Linked DNA regions of Caenorhabditis elegans. The protein of the gene in region 1 interacts with the protein of each later gene in a pairwise test. Each region holds a gene or a part of one and is shown in the gene's direction. Other genes may lie near its edges.

Region 1 (4,182 bases):
GTCGACTCTATGCTTCCAACCCCGAAATCATCTGCAATTAATCACTTTATATTTTCCACCAATCGAAGAAATTGTGAATTTATCGTCGCCCTCTTCTCAATTAAGATCTATTGTCTTTCAATCAATCATAGAGCACATCGCCTCCCTTCTCACATGCCCCACCATTCCATTTTGTTGCACACAGTTTCATTCTGTTGTCTAAAACTGTTGTCATCTGCCTGATGGTCGGGGGTCCCGTCTCATTTTTTAGTGTCCCGTGCAAATAAATGTGTATGTTTTGCCAAATGTTTTGAGAGGTTTAGAGCGATAATACGCAACAGTTTGGCGGCTCTTTTTATGAATTTGATGGTCTCTAGGTCTTACAGTAGATCTATTGAACCACTCGGATTATTGTGCTTTGAAAATCAAAATTGGAATTTCACATATTTCGACGGGTTTATGTGTTAGACTACTTTTTATCTCAAAGCAACCAAAAGCTGGTACAGTAACCTGAAATTTTTATTCGTTGCTTACCAACCGATTCCGAATTTCTCTCTTGCAGAATTATCGCATATTGTCACTTCTGCTCGAATCAGTTTATTTCCTATCTAGAATGACCTCACCAACTCCTTCTTCCAAATATAGGTTATTCTTCCCGGTTCTATCTATCTCTCCCTGTCTCCTCTCTTGTAGCCAAAGCGAACCGTCGAAAACGCAGCCTGTTCCTCTTTTCCTCGACAGCGTCCTCTTCATCAAAAGAGCCTGTGAATCGGCGAGACGTAGACAATCAGAGAGGGAGCCAAAAAGACGGGAGGACCCCTCCCGCGCGCGCTTGTCTGCGCACGGACCAGTTCACCCCTGCCAATGGTGTTGCAGTGGTGTGCTCACTCCCCCTCCACACATACATCACAGCGTTCTCTTTCTTCTCCAGTCTCGTCGCCCCGTTTTTTGGGTGGTCCGTTCTTGTGGGCGTGTGTGTGTATGTGTGTATGAGAGTAGGATAGTGCTTGGCGTCCCGGCCATCGAATCGATATTTTTGTATTAGCAGTGCGATTTTAACTTTGACAACATTCCCATCTAGGGGCTCCCACGTCGCTCCCAATTTTAACCACTTTTCTAGTTTAGCTCGTAACTTTGAAAACTCTTTAATTAATTTTAAACTTTGTATTGAATATAAATATGCTATTTCTTCCCGTTGCAATTTGATATATTAATCCTCTAAACTTGGGAACCCGGCAGGTTACACATGATCCTCGAACGTTTTTTCTGGTTCCTATTCATTAATTCATCTAATACAAAACTATAATAGCAGACAGCTGCTGTCTATTTCTAAACTCAGTGGATCATTGTTTGTTCCTCAGTGTCTGCCTCGCGCGCCGATCTTCCGATCCATCTCTCGCACATGCACCACTTTTTCGTTGGCTGTGGTCCCTACAGATGTGTGACTGTCTTTGTATTGAATGCTTCGGAGACGACTGAATCTTCGTATTGAATCTTCGTTTAATCAGCTCACTGTTTTTTAATACATGTTCATCCCTCTCTAATTCTTCATACATCTTCCATTCCCATTATTTTCATCTACCGTATTTCCTCATTTTTGAAGATCTATGAACGTTTCTGTGCAAAATTGGGTAGATAACTCTCAGGTCACACTATCTATTTTTCTAGAATTTTTTTGTTGTTTTTTTTGTTTTTTGTTTTTTTTCTGAAGGTCACTTATAAGTCTTGTGATCTACGCACATTTTTCAAAAAAAAACTAACAGTGCAGGCTGTAATCTCTAAGTTTAAGTTCTTTTATTTTCTACTTCTTTACATTTATGTTCTAACTTTTCAGAATGAACCTTGCGTCTCAAATTTCTCAAGCAAAAACAGGAAATGCAACTATGGAATGGGCAAAGAACTACGTATCAAAATTGAACGATGGTCAACTGGCTCTTTTGCAGAAAATGTACGCAGATCACCAAGCAAAACTGAAAGCTTCAGAAGATGAAAAAAAGAAGAAAGAAATGGAAGAACTGAAAATGAAAGCACAGCAACAGGCGATCCTTGACTCACTTACACAACAAATTCCCATCATGGTTGATGTCCTCCGATCTTCGACTTCTCCAGATTCACAGCCAAGCAGTAGTAGCAGTGTTATGAGCAGTACCGATGAAGACCAAATTGTAAGTTTTCACTTAAACTTCAATTTTTTGAATTTATAAAGTGTAATATTTTTGTTTAAAATTTATCGTTTCTAATCTTTATTCATTTCAATTTACAGACAGTGAAAGACGTGCTAATCGGAAAAATCAACAAGGCTCAGAGACAATCTTCACCGAACAGCTCGAAGCCGTACACTCCACGTGGAATTCGTGAACGTGTACTTTTTGATGAACATCTCTACGTGTTCGACAAGTGCTCATATGATAGCAAGAAGAGATTCTTCAGATGTGAACGAAAGAATACTTGTCCAGCACGTATTCATACACCATTTGATGCTGAACGAGTCATTCATAAAGTACAAGTTCACAATCATCCACCACCAACTACTTTTGATCTTGCACATTACAATATTGATTATGGAAAAGTCAAATCAGGACACATCTTATCTCTCAATGGGGTTAGTTTTATTTTTTATTTCTAGTTTCATTAGAGTCGGACCATCCTAAGGCTGTTTTTTAGAGTTGGAATCATAATTATCTTTATCAAAATGTTTAACTTTTCAGCCTCAACAAACCAAGAACCTATTGCCACCATCACTTCTCACTCCAAAATCTGATTTGGAAGATGAAACTCTTTCTACAAAAACTGAACAAAAGAATGCTTCAACAATGAATATTCTTCTAAGTATGACAAATAATTGCGATGGACGTAAACCAATCACACTTCGACTTCCTGATCTTTTTAACAAGATCTCAGAAATGGAAATACACGATATGGAGATGACGTTGACAAAGTTTTTGTTGGAGAACAGAGAATTGAGAACTGATTTGATTAGCAGAAATGGAGATCTTCCAGTATTCTTTCCAAATGCACACAATGATGAACTAGTTCTCTTTGTGGCTGATCAACATGAAAATGATTCAGTATTTCAAATGATTCGAGTTTCTGAAAGGAATGAGGTAAGTAAAACAGTGAACCTTCGATTTGAACAGTACAGAAATCGGAATTTTTCAGAAATCAATTCGTCAAGCAATTCAAGAACACCTTCAAAAAGTATCCAATCGTTCACTAATGATGAATATTTCATCCAAAATCAATGTTCCCCTATCACAGCAAATGATCGATCAATGGAGAACCGAGGAATTTATTCGATTAGATTCCTCAAAACCAAACTTTTGGAAAATCCATCATGTTTCCAAACTTCAAGATTAAATTAACTATGTTTTTGTTTATTTTTATTATCAAGTTCATATTCAATGTACTTCCGATTGCTAGTTATTTGTACTAAAGAGCGCATATTGCCCTCAAATATTTCATTCCCGACCCACTTTCATTTTATCGGGTGCTCCATTCCAAACTTTCATCGATTCGAAATTTGTATTTCACGAGTTTTAAATTATTTTCCAAATGATCTCTTTTCATTGTATCGCCAATCTTCCTCCTCTTCTTGTTTGGTTGTCATTTTTCCCTTCATCTCTCTAACTTATAAACTAACCAAATACGGAGTTATTTTATAAATATCAGTATTGAAAAAGTTCAATTGAGAAATCATAAAGAGATTTCCTCGCCTCGCCGTTCGGCTGAAACGCCCTGGCAAACTTTGACATCTTGTTAAAGGTGGACTACGGCCTGTGGGGAAAATAATTAAAGCACATTACAGGTCCTGAATAGCAAAATATCATAATAAAACTTTTCAAAAAAAAATTTCCAGGATTTTTCAAACGTTTCATCATGACATTATACCAAATCAATGGTTTTTTGATTAATTTCCCCACAGGTAGTCCACACTTTATGAACATTTCTAGAAGCACTCCATTTTTGCAATGTACACAATCTTTAAAATAGCAATTATTCAAAGAAAAAACACAAATGGATAAGTTCAAAACTTCAATTTCCATGTATCTGTTCTAATACACAATTATACGGATAGATGTAAATAGCAAATGTTTAAGCGGCATTTTTAGTGTAAGGTTATATATACAAAATTACTATATTGCTCCAAAAGTGATCTGTCACCCGGTTAGGTTTTTGATTCCAATCAGTTTTTCACATCTAATA
Region 2 (6,737 bases), on another chromosome or scaffold:
TTTGATAAATTTAGTGAATTCTAGAAAAAAAACTGGAAAACTGGATGCAATATGATAATAAAACTTGATGAAAAAAAGCTTTTTTAGGTTGGTCAATCTATAAAATATTGAAATTCCTATTAAAACGAAAGATTTTGAAAACTAGTTTTCCTACTACTAAAGATTACTTCACCCTTTAAATTTAAAAAACTGAAAAGTCCTCGAAAATTTTTTTAAAGGTTTACATTTTTTTTCGAGCAGTTTCAACTTCCAGATAAACTTTCAGCACTTTTTCAGTTTTTCCAATCCAAATTATAGTTGTTTTCAATCAAATCAAATACTTTTCTATACTTTATCATTAAATGTAGACTTGGAAAACACATTTCAAATCGGCAAGTTGCTGGAATTAAAAATTTCCGGCAAATCGGCAAATCGGCAAAATGTCTTTTTGCCGAATTGGCCAGAAAAACGGCAATTGCCGGATTTGAAAATTTACAGCATATCGGCAAATTGGCAAATCGTCTATTTGCCGGATTGAAAAACTGCAATAGCCGGAAATTTTTGTCAAAATAAAAAAGCAAGTTCTATGAAAATATCTAAACATAACAGGAAACGAATTTTTCAAAAAGGCACAGTTTTAAGTGTTTCCGTCTTTAAAAAAACCCCTCTAAAAATTTCCGGCAAATCTGATATCCGGCAAATGGCAACTCGGCAAATTGCCGTAATTTTTTTTTGGCAAATCAGAAAATTGCCGGAACTGAAAATTCCTGGAAAATCGGCAAATTGTCGTAACTGAAAATTTCCGGCAAATCGGCAAATTGCCGGAACTGAACGTTTCCGACAAATCGGCAATTTGTCTAAAACAAAAATTTCCGGCAAACCGGCAAATTGTCGAAAATGAAAATTTCCACTTCAACAATGAAACATTTTTCCTGTAGGCTTCAGACAAAAATTATATTTCGTCCTTTAATCCTTTTTTAATCAGGTTTCACTTCACTGTGAATCTAATGAATTATATTATTAAAACTGAAAATTCCGAGAATTCATTTGGATAAATTCTAAAATCAGGGTTTCAACTACCAAAATATTACATGGATTCTGCTCAAGAATACATTGTTCTTCATTTTTTCAAACCTTTCTCGAGCCACAGAACCGCTTTTGCTACATGTCCTGGAAAGATTTATCTTTCATTTTTCGCTGTAATGCTTCATTGTAATGCTTCATTGCGTCCCATTTCGGTTTGATCTACAAAAATTGCGGGGAAAGAGACGCAGAGTTCTCAACTGATTTTGCATGGTTAAGAACGTGCTGACGTCACATATTTTTGGGCGAAAAATTCCCGCATTTTTTGTAGATCAAACCGTAATGGGACAGCCTAGCACCACGTGATGCTTCTGAAATTTGGTTTTGGAATGGGTTTCTATAGATACCTTTTTTCAGCTTTTGATATGCCTTTCCAACCCATTTTTATACAATATAATACCTAATTAATCTGTCAATTGCATTTACATCCATCGAATGTACAATTGCGATGTATTGGAAATTACAGCAATCAGTGCCCATCCCCCATCAACAGTCTCTTATCAATCTTGCTAATCACCTTCACTGTCCCCCCCCCCCCCCACTGTCTCAACCACTGCTCAGATACCAAGTATGTCGCACAGTATTTCCTACTCTGTTTTCTCTAAGGCTCTCACATCTTTCCTCTGACTATTTCTCATTTTTTTGATGCTGCCCTCCTCCTCTATTCAATACAATCAAACGATGTCATGATGCAGGCAAACATCATGCATTCACTGTCTTCACTCTTCTTAGCAAGAAGTTGTGTTCTCTTATCACACACACACACACACACACACTGTCTCCCCCACCATTGGTCTCTTGCCTTTTTTTTGACTGACAACGACGATTTTGAATCTAAGGAACTGGGGATAGGTATGTTTTGAAATTTTGGTTAGGAAAATATGGAAGGATCAAGCTCCGCCCTTGATGATTACTGTAGATTCCTGAATGCATCAGTGAGTTCACGATGGGCATCAGGGCTCTTACATTAGGGGCCAAATTGCCGAAGTTCCGAAGTTTCCGCAACCAGAAGCTGCCGGTTGCAGAAACTTTGGCAATTGCCGGTTGCTGGCGACGTGTATGTATATCTCGCGTCCAAAACAGGGTGGGTGGCAATTGTCGTTTGGCGAAATCGGCAAGTCGGCAATTTGCCGGAATAAAAAATTACCGGCAAATCGGCAAATTGCCGGAATTAAAAATTTCCGGTAAATTGGCAAATTGCCGGAATTAACTATTTCCGGCAAATCGGGCATATCGGCAAATTGCCGGAATTAAAAATTTCCGGCAAATCGGAAAATTGCCGGAATTAACTATTTCCGGCAAATCGGGCATATCGGCAAATTGCCGGAATTAAAATTTCCGGCAAATCGGAAAATTGCCGGAATTAACTATTTCCGGCAAATCGGGCATATCGGCAAATTGCCGGAATTGAAAACTTCCGGAAAATCAGCAATATGTCGAAACTGAAATTTCCTTTAAATCGGTAAAATGCCGGAATTAAAATTCCCGGATGATCGGACAAATCGGCAAATTGCCGGACCTAAAAATTACCGGTAAATTGCCGGAATTAAAAAATTCCGGTAAATTGGCAAATTGCCGGAATTAACTATTTCCGGCAAATCGGGCATATCGGCAAATTGCCGGAATTAAAATTTCCGGCAAATCGGAAAATTGCCGGAATTGAAATTTCCTTTAAATCGGTAAAATGCCGGAATTAAAATTCCCGGATGATCGGACAAATCGGCAAATTGCCGGACCTAAAAATTACCGGTAAATTGCCGGAATTAAAAATTTCCGGCAAATCGGCAAAATGCCGGAACTGAAAATTTCCGGAAAATCGGCAAATTGCCGGAATTAAAATTTCCGGAAGATCGGTAAATTGCCGGAATTGAAATTTCCGGCAAATCGGGCAAATCCGCAAATTGCAGGAATTAAAAATTTCCGCCAAATCGGAAAAGCGGCAAACTGTCGATTTGCCGAAATTTCCGGAAAAACGCCTTTTGCCGAAAATGTTTGGCAAATTATGATTTTGCACTTTTTTTTTGGAAATTTCAAAATTTCAATTTTAATCGGCAAACTTTTTTCCTACATTAATGTTGAAAAATCCCTTTTAAAATTTCTGGCAAATCGGCAATTTGCCGAAAATCAAAATTTCTGGCAAATCGGCAAAATTAGTGTTTTGATAAGAATCAGCAAACTTTCTCATAAGTTCGTTACAAAAACAGTCGCGAACCAATAAGCGAAAGACGAGGAACCAATAAGCGAAAGACGATGCGAAAAATTTTTTAAAATGCACAATTGGGCCTGGCCCGAAAGTTTCAGACAAGACCAAAAAATTCCAAATTTTACAGAATGAATAACGAAACAAGTGGCAGTCGTGACATGATTCTAAAACACTTTGACTCCACGCAAAACAACCAGAATTCGGTAAAGCTGGAACACGAGTCGTCAGATAACAATGAATCGTCAGGCTCCCAGAACTTTGTATTCAACTTTTTAATGAGCCAACTGCAAAACATGGGTCCAGTGGAGATAAAACAAGAAGTAGAGGCGAAGATGTTGGATGATATAGAAGATGAGTACACTGATAATAATTACAATGAAGGCTACTCAAAGATGGATACAGATGGGGATTTGGAGTGGGAAGAGGAATTTAAGAAATTGAATAAAGATCCGAGTAAGATGGACAAGAGAGAACAGGTTTGTGTGGATTTTTTACAACTTCTAGTACAAAATTTAGGTTAGATGTACATGCCCGCCTAACGCCTATTTTTTGTAGTGTAGAAAAAGATTTGTTATATCTGAAAATAATTTCCAAATTTTTCTGAAAAGCCTCACTCAAATCAGGATAGCAATTGGGGCTCAGCAAATTTTTTTGTCGACGAATTTGGCAAATCGGCAAATTGATGGTTTGCCGATTTGCAAAAAATTATGATTTCCGGCAAAAAAAAACTGCCGATTTGCCGTTTGCCGGAAGTTTTCAATTCCGAAAATGTACCGATTTTCCGATTTGCCGGAAGCTTTAAATTCCGGCAGTTTGCTGATTTGCCGATTTGCTGGAAGTTTTCAATTCCTGAAACTTACCGATTTGCCGGAAATTTTCAATTCCATCGATTTTGCCGATTTGCCGGAAATTTTCAATTCCATCAATTTGCCGATTTGCCGGAAATTTTCAATTCCGGCAATTTTTCGATTTCCCAATTTTGCCCGAAAAAAATTTGCCGGAAAATTTGATTTTCAGCAAAAAAAAAATGCCGATTTGCCGGAAATTTTGCTTTTCCGCAATAAAACTGCCGATCTGCCGGAATTTTGATTTTCGGCAAAAAACTGCCGATTTGCCGGAATTTTGATTTTCGACAAAAAATGCCGATTTGCTGGAAATTTCAATATCGGCAATTTGCCAATTTGCCGGAAATTTCAACTTTGGCAAGAATATCAATTTTAAATCCAAATTATTCAGGAACGTCACCGTCAAATGGCCAAAAACCGTGAGTACGCCCGAAAGTGTGTTCAAAAGAAAAAAGATCAACGAAAGCATGCGGAAATTCGAAGTAATCAAATCAAAAAACGCATTCAACTTCTCAAAAATAAAACGGCGATAAAAGAGAAAAATGCGAATTTTGCAGTGGATTTGAGAAAAATGATGTCAGAAATTGGAGTAGAACGGCTGAAATTGGAATATGAAAATGAGAAAATGGAATTGAATAAGAAGTTTGCTGAAATGTTTGCACAGGATGAAACTGTTAATTTGAATTTTCATGTAGGTTTTTTCTCTAAATTTCAAAAAAAAAGTGACCAATTTGCCGAAAATTTATTTTGCCGGTTAGCCGATTTGCCAGAAATTTTCAATTCCGGCAATTTGTCGATTTGCCGGAAATTTTCAACTCCTGAAGTTTGACGATTTGCGGAAATTTTCAATTTACCGATTTGCCGGAATTTTTCAATTCCGGCAATTTGCCGATTTGCCGGGAATTTTCAATAACGGCAATTTTCCGATTTGCCAGAAATTATAAATTCCGGCAATATGCCGATTTGCCGGAAACTTTCAATACCGGCAATTTGTTGATTTGTCGAATTGCTGGAAATTTTTCAATTCCTGCAATTTGCCGATTTGCCGGAAATTTTCAATTCCATCAGTTTGCCGATTTGCCGGAAGTTTTCAATTTGCCGATTTGCCGGAAATTTTCAATTTGCCGGTTTGCCGGAATTTTTCAATTTGCCGTTTTGCCGAAAATTTTCAATTTGCCGATTTGCCGGAATTTTTCAATTTGCCGATTTGCCGATTTGTCAAAAAAATAGCGAATAAATAAAAAAGTCCTACTTTAGTTTGAGTTTTTTCAAAAATGCAAAACTGAGAACTGCGACCAATCAGCGATTTGCTCCGCCCACTTTTCCACCAATCAGATCGAGTGGGCGTAGTTCAAAGATGGTGATTGGTCGGGGAGTTCTCCTTAGTTTGTAAATCCCGTTTTTAAACTTTTTTTGTGGAATTTCTGAATTTCCGACTTTTTCTTTTGAAAAGTCAATTTTAAAATTATTAACCAAATTATAGAGGCTCGCCAGTGCTCGAGAAGAATTTGAAAAAGCTGCTGAAGACCTACGTCTAAAAAACGGAGTAATTGGGACTTTAGGTTCCCGAAAAATCCGAGCAAAGCAGCAAATGGAGTGGAGACAGCATTTGTATCAAATATCTGCACATGAACATGTTCGTTTATATAAATTCTTACCTGAAACAGTCAAAATGAAGAAAATCCCGTTAACTGAAACATTGGGGAGAATGCTCAAAAATTGGCCTAAATTAGCCTAAAGTTCTAGTTGAAAAAAATTTTATTTCGAGACGAATCATGTAATTTTAGTTCATTTTTTAGAATTTCCCAATAAAATTGTAAATTTTTCCAGAATATTTTTTTAAAAATAACTTATTACAGGAGCATCATCGTGAGACAAAACTTGCCGAGTTGGCAGACGAATATGTTAAGCAAACGGTACCAAAAGCTGCTCCCCTAGTCACCTCAATTCCTAAAGACATGTTAGATCAACTAATTAAAAACAATAAAACTTTGGATTTGGAAGAGCTGTGCCGTTTTGTTGCTGATAATTTGTGTTTGTTACAAAATGATAATGATGATAAAGAATCTGTTGTTAAATAAATTATGGAATTTATCCGATGGTTGTACTTTTTGAAAATGTGTTCTTATTCATTTATTCTCCTTGTAGTCTAAATATTTTTGCCGGAATGGAACATTTCCGGCAAGTTCGGCGAACCGGCAATTTGCCGGACTGGATATTTTCTGACAAGTTAGGCAAACCGGCAATTTTTCGGAATGGAAATTTTCTGTCAAACCAGCAAATTGCCGAATTTGTAAATTTCCGGCAAATCGACAAATTGCCGGAATTGAAATTTCCGGCAATTCGGCAATTTGACGGAAAGGAAAATTTCCGGCAAGTGCGGCAAATCGGCAATTTGCCGGAAAAAAACACTTCGGCAAGTTGTGGGTTTGCAAGTTTATTTTCTGGAAATTTCAGAATTTCAAAACGATAATCGCAACATTGCCATAATTGAATTTTCTGGCAAGTTAGGCAAACCGGCAATTTTTCGGAATGGAAATTTTCTGACAAGTTAGGTGAACCGGCAATTTTTCGGAATGGAAATTTTCTGGCAAGTTTGGCAAACCGGCAATTTTTCGGAATGGAAA
Region 3 (4,771 bases), on another chromosome or scaffold:
TTTTCCACACCCATCATCTTCCCTCAACTTTCCTCTTCTCAAATGCCTAATCAGCCAGTTATAACGAGGGTGCTCTTCGTGTGGCGCCCCGCCCATTTTATTGCTCCTCTCACGCTTCATTCTCACTTTTTCTGGGGATCCTTTTTTTTGCAGACCTAAAAATTTGAGCTCAGCCATATTTTTTTTGTAAATATAATCAAAAAAAAATAGACATTAGTCAAAAAAGTTGTTTTAAGCCTAAAAAAATTTTTCAGATAAAAAACGTTTTTCTTTAACTTTTTTGAACAGTTTTTCAGTGAAATATTTTTAAATTTTTATTTTAAAAAAATGTTTGTTTATCTAAGCCTAAGCCTGAGCCTAAGCCTAATAACCCTAAATAGCGTCAGTGTGGGAGCTCACGCTCCCCCACTGACGCCAAGCCTAAGCCTACGCCTAAGCCAAAGCCTAGGCCTAAGCCTGGGCCGAAGCTGAGACCTAAGCTTAAGCCTAAGCCTAAGACTAAGACTGAGTTCAAGCCTAAGCCTAAGACTAAGCCTGAGTCTCAGCCTAAGCCTAAGCCTAAGCCTAAGCCATTTTTAAAAAGCTTAAAAATTTTTGCAATTACTATTTTTTCTGAAAATCTGTAAAAATATCGAATTTTTAGAGTTGCTATAAAATTTAAAATAATATTCAAAAAATAATCCGAAAAAATTAAATTTTTTTTCTCAAAACGTAGATCATACAGAATCAGCTTTAAAAAATTCAAACCATTTTTCGTTTCAAAAATGTTCAGAAAATTTGTAAAACTTGAGTTTTGAAGAAAGTTTTCATAAACTAGCTCTTGAATAGGGTTTTTAAGTAGGCGTTAAAACGCTTGCCTGCCTGACCTTCAGGCGACTTTCGCCTGCCTGCTTGACTTTCAGACGTTCTCTGCCTGCCTGCCTGACTTTAAGGCGACCTCCGCCTGCCTCTCGCCTCAATCCGAGCCTTATCTCTTAAAATGTTTTTCATCAAATTGATAAAAATACGGAAATTACAAAATTTTGTAAGTTCATGCCAAAATGCAGGCATCAGGCCCTGAGGCCACGCCTGCCTAGGCCTCCGACTTTCGTTCTACAATTGTCGTTGCCGTTTCCTTTATCCCATTTTCATACCCCAAAGTTATGATTTTTCTTACACCCCTTGCGCTGCTGCTGCTTCCGCTCCCGTGATCTTATGAATCAGTAGTCAGAACTGCAGGTGTGAATCTCCACAATGATCACCCAATAAACGCGAAACACCATTAGAAACAAAGTGTCCCCCGTTTTTTTTTTCTGAGAGTGTCGGCACCCCCCTAACATATGCGGGGAACATTGTCTCAAGTTTTGTGTGCTCCTCCAGCTCCTCCATATGGTTACCGTAGTCCCCTGTCAGTGTTGTGTAATTGTTGTTGTAACTATCCCCCGAATACCTCTCCTCACATTCATTCACAACACAGGTGTCAACTCAACTCTCAGTGCTCATTTGAAGTTTATGAAGTTTAGCTTCCGGGGATGGCTCTCCTGGGCTCCCCGCTCCCTCGAAAATTTAATTAATTGCAAGCACATGTGGTGGTGGTGGGGCGAGCTCCGCGCTTCCCCCCCCGCCCCGATTCTCTCTCTCTCATTTGCGACTCATTAGATTTTAAATCACTCTCAAACTTTCCACTTTTCCAACTTTCGCGTTTTTTAAATTTTTTTTTCACTTTTTCCTCACAAATTCATCCAAAAAAATTTCCAGAGTTGCCCCGCCCATATATTGGCTAAATGGTAGAATGGACGTGGCACTTTTGACAATGGATGACAACAACAAACCGCCGACAAGTTCAGAGTCTACGGAGAGTAGGGGTGAGTTTGGCCGGGGGACCGATAATTTTTAGGCCAAGACTTCTTTTTTTTTAAATCATTTTCAAAGGTACGTTACCTTCACGTGGTGCCAGGTTGTCCCATTGCTTTTTGATCTACAGAAAATGCGGGATTTTTTCCCCAAAAAATGTGACATAAGCAAGTTTTTAAATCTTTTCTCCCGCATTTTTTTGTAGATCTACGTAGATCATACTCTGACACCACGTGTACCTTGAACCTCCTGGCTTTCTGAAACTAGAGTTCGTCGCTAGAGCGCATTTGCATTGTCGTGGTATTTAATTTACAGTACCGCCAGAATCATGTCGCGCCGCTTGTAGTCTAGTGGTTAACACGCTTCAGCTCTAAACAATAGGTCCGGGGTTCGATTCCTTGCAAGATGAAATTTCTTTCTCAAGATGGAGGTACATATGTGCTTTAAATGTGCACTAGAGATAGCGAAACTGATACCATGGTCCGACATGTACAGGGTTCCGCGCGCGCCTAGGGCCTCCAAAACGCCTGCTGCTCCAGTTTTGCGGCGACCTCCGCCTAACTCGCGGCGCGCCTTCTGTATAGTCACGGCCTTCTGTCTTCCCTCATAAATTGAAATGGAAGAGTTTTTGCCGAACTAGGCCATCTTGGCTCGGTCACATCTGGGCTCGATTTTAGTTGTAAAACTAAATGTATTTGTCCGTGTGGAGTGCACGACTTGCCCACGCGTTGACCGGCGGGCGATTGCCAATGGAGCGCGAAAAATTCAATAAGGAAGGCCAGAACCCCGTGTATAGTGCCGCGCGTGGAGCCCGAAAAGTGTCAGCCGCGGCGGAAGAACCACATTCCATAGGACTAAAAAACTAAAGTTCTCTCTTTCAGAAACATCACCACCAATGATGCCAGATTCTGCGGAGATAATGCGACTTCTTACGGATCCTTCGACGGCTCAGATGTTTGGTAGGTCATAGATCAAATTTTTTCCGCAATTTCCCGAAAAATTTCAGCCAACGAAAACACAAAATGTCAGCTGGGACGGATTCTCGCCGCGTCAGGCTTCGACGAGGCGAGCCTCTCCTCCTCGTTTCCGTTCGATCCGACGCTCGGCGCGTTCGCCGACATTTCCCAATTCTCATCACTCCGAAATTCGTCGAAAACGCTGAAATGTCCAAAGTGTAATTGGCACTACAAGTACCAGGAGACCCTTGAAATTCATATGAAGGAGAAGCACAACGATGTGGATGTCAAGTGCATGTTTTGTGCCGAGAACCGTCCCCACCCGAAGCTGGCTCGCGGTGAGACGTACTCGTGCGGTTATAAGCCATATCGATGCGATTTGTGTCGGTACAGTACGACGACAAAGGGCAATTTGAGTATTCATATGCAAAGTGATAAGCATCTTCATGCAGTGCAAGAGCTCCCGAATAGTATAGGTAGGTGGGGGGGGGAGGCGAAGGGTACTGTAGTTTTCGTGGTGGGACCCAAGAATTTGAATTTCACAAGAATTTAACTGTTGAACTCGAACTTTTCGATTCTAGGGTCTCGCCACGCAAAAACACTTACGCCAACTTTTTTGAACCCTAAAAAATGATACTCAAATTAGAGTTCTCAGTGAGCTAAATTCGATTTTACAGTATTTTTTTAATTTGACGTTCTGTGGGTCTTACACTCAAAGGGTACTGTAGTTTTCGTGGTGGGACCCACTTGTCCAAAAATGGACGTGATTATATTTGGATTAAAGCCCCTAACTTTTCTGATTTTTTTAATAAATTGGTTTTATTTTGAAAAGACTGAGAAAATTGAGTTTAGATCGAAATCAATAAAAATCGCGTCGAGACCCAAATTTCCCGGGTCTCGGCACGAAAATGGGGGAGAGGGTACTGTAGTTTTCTGGCTTCTCTCATAAATTGAAATGGAAGAGTTTTTGCCGAACTAGGCCGGCCATATCTGGGGTAGATTTACGGCGCGTTGCGTGTCGCGGCTCAATTTTTGTTTTAAAACATGAGGAAGACCAGAATCCCGTGTTTTCGTGGTGGGACCCAAATGGGTCATGATTATACTTATTTGAAAGGCCTTAAGCTGAATTCAGATTTAAGATTTTTATTATTTTAATTCAAAAATATCCTGAATTTTCCAGAATTCGCAGCCAACTTCGCGTGTGGTGCTCCAGTTAGCCGAAGTAGTCCAATCGAAGAGTCCGACGGATCCCTGGTCTGCTTGATCTGCGGTATCTTCGCCACCGAATCTATCGCCGAAATGATGGAACACGTGGAACAAGACCGTTCCAGGACGTTCCAAGGAGACGTTACCGTCCTAAACGGGAGCTTCCGGTGCCACTTGTGCCCGTATAATACCACATTGAAAGCCAATTTTCAACTACACACAAGGACGGATAAGCATCTGCAAAAGGTTCAAATTGTGAGTTTTGTATTCCCCTCTCATCATCTTCTTATTTTTATTGTGTCGCCCTTTTCCCATTTTTGTGTGTCTGTGTGTGTATGCGCACCGATTTGCATATACACATAAATTCATGATTTAATAGCGTAATGAGTAATATTTGCTTTGCCAAGGCTAACAGTTTTCGTATTTTAAAGCCTTTTTTCTACAATTTTTGAAAAAAAAATTCAAAAATTTGAACATTTCAATATATCCCTAGAAAGCTCAAAATTGTAGTGAAAATTTTGAATTCAGTACGCTGAGACCTTTAAAATAAGTATAATCATTACTAGGTTTTGGTTCTGACGCGAAAGTGTTCGTGGCGGAGCCCAAGCAAGGCGTAATTGATTATAGGGTCTTTGCACGCAAAAAATTTAAGGTCCGGTAGGCGTGGCGGGGAGTTTTTCTTGAATTATTTTAGTTTTTCATAAATTTTCAATTTTTTGGAATTTATTTTTCTCTCCCTTCCCCCGCGTAGTCTGAGCCTAAACCTAAGCCTGAGT

Evidence for each region. The genes of interacting proteins can lie anywhere in the genome.
Region 2: the proteins of flh-3 (region 1) and zip-12 interact in a two-hybrid assay, tested with the Caenorhabditis elegans proteins (one large-scale study listed by BioGRID).
Region 3: the proteins of flh-3 (region 1) and zfh-2 interact in a two-hybrid assay, tested with the Caenorhabditis elegans proteins (one large-scale study listed by BioGRID).

The regions. Positions count from the first base shown.
Region 1 is NC_003282.8:9,268,283-9,272,464, forward strand, and holds flh-3 (FLYWCH transcription factor 3), read left to right. Parts: upstream 1-1,813; 5' UTR 1,814-1,814; coding exon 1,815-2,144; intron 2,145-2,242; coding exon 2,243-2,581; intron 2,582-2,687; coding exon 2,688-3,083; intron 3,084-3,138; coding exon 3,139-3,336; 3' UTR 3,337-3,656; downstream 3,657-4,182. UniProt on the Caenorhabditis elegans protein: Probable transcription factor. May bind to the promoters of target genes, including micro-RNA genes, in order to repress expression, and acting redundantly with flh-2.
Region 2 is NC_003281.10:12,326,072-12,332,808, forward strand, and holds zip-12 (BZIP domain-containing protein), read left to right. Parts: upstream 1-1,595; 5' UTR 1,596-1,875; coding exon of another isoform or gene 1,876-1,914; intron 1,915-3,392; 5' UTR 3,393-3,393; coding exon 3,394-3,741; intron 3,742-4,501; coding exon 4,502-4,801; intron 4,802-5,593; coding exon 5,594-5,746; intron 5,747-5,969; coding exon 5,970-6,191; 3' UTR 6,192-6,203; downstream 6,204-6,737.
Region 3 is NC_003279.8:801,631-806,401, forward strand, and holds the start of zfh-2 (Zinc Finger and Homeobox), read left to right. Parts: upstream 1-1,737; 5' UTR 1,738-1,771; coding exon 1,772-1,844; intron 1,845-2,169; exon of another isoform or gene 2,170-2,242; intron 2,243-2,714; coding exon 2,715-2,792; intron 2,793-2,839; coding exon 2,840-3,265; intron 3,266-3,969; coding exon 3,970-4,250; intron 4,251-4,771.